Bombyx mori: one gene and its partner. The protein of the gene in region 2 purifies or fractionates together with the protein of the main gene of each other region. This does not show direct contact. Links are inferred from orthologs where the notes say so. Each region holds a gene or a part of one and is shown on either strand. Other genes may lie near its edges.

What was found.
Region 1: the proteins of isoleucine--tRNA ligase, cytoplasmic (region 2) and leucine--tRNA ligase, cytoplasmic purify together in Homo sapiens (affinity purification with mass spectrometry; 7 studies listed by BioGRID and IntAct, counting the BioPlex papers as one, with this or other methods). This does not show direct contact. The link is inferred for Bombyx mori from reciprocal best matches to the Homo sapiens genes IARS1 and LARS1.

What each region holds. Positions count from the first base shown.
Region 1 is NC_085119.1:13,741,041-13,744,700, reverse strand, and holds part of leucine--tRNA ligase, cytoplasmic, read right to left. Parts: intron 3,003-3,660; coding exon 2,748-3,002; intron 2,066-2,747; coding exon 1,856-2,065; intron 943-1,855; coding exon 708-942; intron 1-707. UniProt on the Homo sapiens protein: Aminoacyl-tRNA synthetase that catalyzes the specific attachment of leucine to its cognate tRNA (tRNA(Leu)).
Region 2 is NC_085127.1:9,600,058-9,603,817, reverse strand, and holds the start of isoleucine--tRNA ligase, cytoplasmic, read right to left. Parts: upstream 2,306-3,760; 5' UTR 2,027-2,305; coding exon 1,806-2,026; intron 946-1,805; coding exon 840-945; intron 699-839; coding exon 497-698; intron 426-496; coding exon 1-425. UniProt on the Homo sapiens protein: Catalyzes the specific attachment of an amino acid to its cognate tRNA in a 2 step reaction: the amino acid (AA) is first activated by ATP to form AA-AMP and then transferred to the acceptor end of the tRNA.

The DNA of each region.
Region 1 (3,660 bases), on a different chromosome or scaffold from region 2:
AGCCCATAGACATCTACAACGTAAATGCGCCACCCACCTCGATCGAAATAAATAGTATGCATGCGTGTGTGCGTCAAATACATGGTATGTAGTGTGTGTAATGTTTTATTTATTGATTTAATGTATCTTTTATGCATTATTTAAAAAAAATATTAGCATTGTGCACTTCTTCTCTATATTCTCTTTAAGTGTGGAAAATTTCATACTCCTCCGTCCGCGCAATTTTCGTAAAAAGGGAAACAAAGTTTTAGGTTCACGTATTAATATATAGATTCTAATTTTTACAAAACAATCGCACAGACAAGTTTTGATTACAAATTACATACTTACTTTTCTTGTACCTTTTTTTTGCGTTGACTGTTGATCGATTTCACGGCCCATCCAGTAATAAGTGATTATTGAGGTACGCGTCTGCGGCGTAAAAAAATGCTGATATGATTTTTTTATCGTTTAGATGGGTGGACGACTCCCGGCCCACCTGGTGTTAAGTGGTTACTGGAGCCCATAGACATCTACAACGTAAATGCGCCACCCACTTTGAGATATAAGTTCTAAGGTCTCAGTATAGTTACAACGGCTGCCCCGCCCTTCACACCAAACGCATTACTGCTTCACAGCTGAAATAGGCAGGGTGGTACCTACCCGCGCGGACTCACAAGAGGTCCTACCACCAGTAAGTAATATATGCATATAGTTCTCGCTCTCACCTTTGATAGCCTTCACGTCCTTGGCAAGTTTCGCCTTGAGTTTGTCGACGGTGTCTCCGTCAGCCACGTCGACGCTGAGGGTGAAGAGTCCGTTGAGCGGCGTGGGGTTGAGCAGGACGAGCGGGAGGGCGGGCTCGGCGCTGAACGTGATGTGCGGCTGTCCGGGGGCGCACTCCTCGCGGCTCCGCTCCGGCGCGTCGGCGCTGTCCGTGTACTTCACCTCTATCGCGTCCAACTGGTACATAATAATGATAATTGAACATAACGCGCTTCGGTTTGAAAGGCGGGGCAACCGTTATAACTATACTGAGACCTTAGAACTGATATCTCAAGGTGGGTGGCGCATTTACGTTATATACGTCTATAGGCTCCAGTAACCACTTAACACTGGGTGGGCTGTGAGCTACTCCACCCATTTAAGCAATAAAAAAAAGAGTAGAGTTATTAGTAAATTATTATTATTAGATTTAGATAGATTAGAATATTGGTAAATTGATTAGATTGTACTCTTCTACCTACTTATGTAAAGTTCTCCCTCTTTAAGAACGGTTAGCTGGTAGATAACTCAATTGTTGAGTTACACTTGCAATTTATATAAGTTTATTTATAAGTTTTCAAAAATATTGTATTTTGTATTTGAGAAGCTCATAATTGCGGGTCGTATAGAGGGCGAGCGTGTCGTGGGCAGAACACCAGAAGATCTAGCAAGAGAAGCACTTGGTGGTAGTCTGTACTGTGCAGTCCATGCCACCCATGATCGAGCACACTGGAAGTACGTCGCATGTGGTCGCGATCCTCAGTAGTGAGGGAACGATATAGTACAGCGGTCGGGGAACTTTTTTAATTGTTACCCCAAAATATTTTTGTGTAAGTTGATATTCCCCCATGGCGAAGAACAAAAAAAAACGAAATCGCTTCTTTTTAGCATCTCTCATATTATAGGCCCCATGATATTTTGAAAAGAAAACAATAACAAAAAATTTAACGATTCGAAGTTTCACTTCAATATATACTTTTTACTCACAAAAGTTTCATTTTTACCCCCCAAAATTTCATTTTACCCCATGTGGGATAATTTACCCCGGTTCCCCGACTGCTGATATAGAAGAAGACAGTAAAGAGTTGGAGTAGAGTAGAGGGGTGCTCACATCGAGCGTGGCTCGCAGGTAGGCGGCGTTGTCCCGCAGCACGGCGGCCTCGGCGAAGGGCAGCGCCAGCGCCAGCGCCGCGCCGCCGTCGCGCCGCACGCACTCGCGCGTCGCCTGCACGAACGGCATCACGCGCTTAGAGTACTTCCGCAGCTCGTCCAGCTGCGACAGCCGGCTCGAGATCGTCTTGTTGTCCGGGAGACCGTCCGGCTGGAAACAATGATCGTATATTACGCAAATTATAAAAAAAATATAATTCGTGTAATTACCGGTGGTAGGACCTCTTGTGATATGATACGTGTATATGCCTTGCAATATAGTAATTCGGTTTGAAGGGTGGGGCAGTCGTTGTAACTATACTGCAACCTTAGAACTCATATCTCAAGGTGGATGGGGTAACCATTTAGCACCAGGTGGCTTGTGAGCCCGACGCGATATATGAAAAAAAATTACATACAATTCGAGATGTCTGCGGTGTATGATTAAAAGACTATTATACCCGTAAAGCCTTAGTCACCGAACGTCGGACTATTTTAGACTATATCATAGTCTCTCTCTCTCTCATACTATCAGAGCTCGAACCAAGATAGCGACGCAGTGTGTTTCGAGGCTCACTAAGGCTACCTTTCAACACCGAGGACACTCCTCGCATCTCGGTTGTTATTATAGAAATCATTGACGCGTCCTATTCTCGACGGTCTACAAGGAGCCCCGGCCCGCTCCAGACCCCAGCTCGCTGGCGACACAACGCACTTGTCCTGTTGTGTCGATTCTCCCTGCGAAATGGTGCTCTCGGATATATAACGAGTTACCGCTTCCAGCGCTTCTTTAGCGAAGCAGCTAGCTACGTTGATCAGCTGTAAAATGGAATATATCAAGCGACTGTACACACCCCGTTAAGTTCTTTGAGCGTCGTCAAAATAATGCGTTGCCACTTCGGGAACTCCTTAGCGACCCAAATGACCGCCTTGTTGGGCTTCTTCTCTGGTTTAGGCGTTTCGCCTTTCTTCGGTTTCTTGAGTGCACAGTGATTCTTCAAGTAGACACGGAACGAGTGCGCGGCGTCCATCAGGTAGTTGCTGGCCTTCACCGCCACCTCGTCGACGTCGCCTGCGACCGGCCAGCGAGAGTGCAGGATGCTTGTTTTCTGATTAATAAATTAAAATCAATTGATACATTCAGTACGAAATATATAATATACTAGCCGTACTCGCCCGCTTCGCTGAGCAGTTAAAATTAACATTATTATTTATTGTCATTATTATTAGGGAGTCCAACACTCATATAAATATTAGCCTATCCATTAAGTACATGTATTTTCTACATGGATACGTCAATCGGATGCATGGTTCAGTAGTTATAGCGGAACATCCATAAAAACCACTATTATATATTAGTATAGATTATTGATCTGAATGTATTGTTAGTTACATAAGTGATAGTAGAACCTCTTGAAGTCCGCGCGGGTGGATACCACCGCCTTGCCTATTTCTGCCGTGAAGCAGTAATGCGTTTCAGTTTGAAGGATGGGGCAGCCGTTGTAACTATACTTGAGATCTTAGAACTTATATCTTAAGGTGGGTGGCGCATTTATGTTGCGGATGTCTATGGGCGCCAGTAACCACTTAACACCACTGGTGGTAGGACCTATTGTGATCCACTGGTGGTAGGACCTATTGTGAGTCCGCACGGGTAGGTACCACCGCCCTGCCTATTTCTGCCGTGAAGCAATAATGCGTTTCGGTTTGAAGGGTGGGGTAGCCGTTGTAACTATACTGAGACCTTAGAACTTATATCTCAAGGTG
Region 2 (3,760 bases):
GCCCTTTAGTTTTTCACCAGGAAATTTCTCAAGAATCATGAAGTCTGTAGTGTTTTTGAAGATAACAGGAAACCTAGACTCTTGAATGACATAACATGTACCAGTTTTATTTTCTTGAATCTTGATATATATCAATTTGGGATTTACACAAAGAGCTAAATTACTAGGCAATGTCCAAGGTGTGGTAGTCCAAGCAAGTAAGGAATATCCTTTATCAGTAGGAAAAGAAACAACAACAGCTGGATCTACAACTTCTTTATAGTTCTGTCCAGATTCAAAGTTAGATAATGGAGTTGAACATGCCGTAGAATAAGGCATCACCTTCACTCCTTGATACACCAAGCCTTTGTTGTACAGTTCCTTGAAAACCCACCAAATGGATTCCATAAACCATGGGTATAAAGTTTTATAATCATTTTTAAAGTCTGCAAAATGATATTGTGATTAAACCATATAATAAATTTATAATTCACAAAGAAATCTAAGTATTATTTACCAATCCATCGACCCATACGAGTGATAATATTCTCCCAGTCAGCAGCATACTTCATCACAATTTTTCGGCATTCTGCATTGTATTTGTCAATACCCAATTTATGTACATCTTCTGGACCTTTAATGCCCAAAGTTTTGTCAATCTCAAATTCTACAGGAAGTCCATGACAATCCCAACCAAATCTTCTTTCTACATGATAGCCCTGGAATAAGTAAGTTAAGATAGTTGATTCTCATTTCAATTTTCAAAAAGATGTAAACTTGCTAGATTTTAAATACAAGTTTATATACCTTTAAAATTAAACTAATGTAAAAATAAATAATTTAAACAGTAATTTTTTTACCTGTTGATGAGCATATCTCGTGACCACATCCTTTATGGTGCCTGCAAGTATGTGACCATAATGAGGCAGTCCTGTTGCAAATGGTGGTCCATCATAAAATGAGTACCTATAAGTAACTATATTTATGACAATGTTCACTTCCCAAGCTAGTAATATAATGTGGTCATTTAACCACTAACCAAGTCAAATTCCTCAAATGTAAAGAAATTTAGGTTAGTAAGTATTCAAGCTCACAGCTCACCTGGTGTTAAGTGGTAACTGGACCCCATAGACATCTACAACGTAAATGCGCCCCCCACCGTGAGATGTAAGTTCTAAGGTCTCAAGTATAGTTACAACGGCTGCCCCACCCTTCCATCGAAATTCATTACTGCTTCACAGCCGAAATAGGCAGGGTGGTGGTACCTACCCGTGCGGACTCACAAAAGGTCCTACCACCAGTTATTACGCAAATTAATTTAGCGGGTTAGTTTTTTTTATTGCTTAGATGGGTGGACGAGCTCACAGCCCACCTGGTGTTAAGTGGTTACTGGAGCCTATAGACATCTACAACGTAAATGCGCCACCCACCTTAAGATATAAGTTCTAAGGTCTCAAGTATAGTTACAACGGCTGCCCCACCCTTCTTCACGGCAGATATAGGCAGGGTGGTGGTAGGCCGTACGGAGAGGTGAGGTTAGGCAAATGAATAGATTATTTAAATGGCCTTCATTCAGTTATGAAAATATAAAACAAATTGAACCGTTTGTGGTTTCTGTGTGTAAATAATAATGTGACGAAAGGTTATGAAAAAAGTAACGTTTTATTATAGTTTTACGAACCAGCTGTTAAATAAAACTTTTACAATACCACGACACACTTTGAAATTTTAATGTACTTTTAGGATAACGCATATAAAGCAGTTATCTTAATAAGAATGCTATTCATTTTCTTTCAATATGCGCTAATATGAAAGTATTGACTTACTTTGGTCTGCTTTTGGATTGTTTTAAACAAGTCTGGAAAGCATCGATTTTTTTCCAAAATTCTAAGATTTTGTCCTCTTCGGCTGGAAAGTTAATACTTTCCGGCACTCTTTCTACTTTATTTGCCATTCTCACAATTTTGGAATTGTGGTGAAATTTTAGCCTATTCACCAGGGGGGTGCAACTCCCATACAAAGGAAAAGAACATTCAACTAGCGTCATCTTTAGGAACCGGCGAGGTCATTTTTGAAACGTTTTGGCCTTAATGAACTAATAAACTCACTAGATGGCAGATACGAGTTCTGACTCAATAAAAAAGGTTAGCGTACTTTGAAGCAGTGCTTCCACTTTTAGGGAATTCTCCCTTTTTTAGGGAAAAATAGCTGATATTTTGGATGATAAAGACAATTTAAAAAATACCAGGATTTAGGATATTTCGGGGTAAAAAGCAAAGCCTATACTAGTAACTGTTGTGAATTTTAAAATAAACGATAATTAAAGTAAAACAATGAACCTTTTACTTTATGGAGAGAGAATGACATTAAGTCGAGTTGACAAGTAAAAGAATAAAACAGAGTTGTGTATAAAAACTATAAAGAAGGTTTGATTCAACAGTAACCCTCTAGTAAAGTAAATCATAGATTAAGCCACTGCTTTTTTCTTAGGGATTCCCCAGAATCCCAATAAGTATAATCCGCCAAACTTTTATTTACCTATTTTCGTTGATGTCACCAGAACTTACTTGTATTGTAATATACAGGTACTTCATGTACCATGAATGATTATCATGGTAATTTCATTTACGAAAACCTTGTAATTGTCATTTCACTTTTGCTAGCAGTTCCTTCTTCAAAGATTGAGGTGGAAAGATTATTCAGTGTTCTCAAATGTAAAAATTGACAAAAGAAACAGGCTTTCTAATGAAACCCTGAACGGCTTGCTTCATAGAAAGTTCCCAACTTTGCCAGCAAACAATTGCTCAATTTTAGAACCGAACAGTGTTAGGTTGCGTGCAGCAAAAGAATATAAAAGCAATGCGTCGACTTCCTTGAAAATTCTAATCCTATAGATCTATGATCTTCTGGGGGCGTTTATATTATATATACCTACATTAAATAATATGCTGTGGTTTATTTTCTGTATTTTATTTATGCTTTCTATATAAAGGATTTATGAAAGTTGTCTAGGAAATTTTAGGGATAAATTCAAAAGAAACTAGGGTAAAATGTGTTAAAAAAAACGTAAGTGGAAACACTGCTTTGAAGTTTTCAAAATTCCAGGGCCGTAAAACAATCTCAAAAATAAAAAAAAAGTTTTCAAAATGTCGTAACGATTTAATTTTTTAAATCGTTTTTTTTGGTCTTGGTGTGAGTTATATTACGTTGTAGTATTAATTTAGAGCATCTTTTAGCTTTATGAGAATATTAGACGATTAGACATTGAGAAACTCTGTTTTGAATTCTCTTTAGACATAACTTGGTTCCAATACTTTTTTCTTCGTTAGCGTTTCGTAAGCCTGTGTAACTATTTTCGTTTCTTACAGAAAGTTTATTATTAAAAATCAGCATGCCTCGAAGATCGAAAATGAAATGCTATTTCGGATGCCTTGATAACGGTGAGTTTACACTATTTTCCCGGTATATTATTTGCTAACAGAATTATTATTCATAATATAATTAAATGAATTAGCACCAACTAATGGTCCTTCCTATTTCTGCTGCCTAGCTATCATATATGTTAAGTTTGATCAAAACAGTCGGAGTAAAGTCTCGTACTATCACACACACACCTCAGATAATAAAATTGTCTCGAGTGGGTGGAAGTATTTATGTTTTGCAACTCAGCGTATTATATGCTTATTGTCAAGTGGGCCCGAACTAGTTTTTTGGAATGATCAATCAGTCATGCTTTCCTGTTTAAATAAAATACAGCACAATTGATCTCACATCCAAAGTT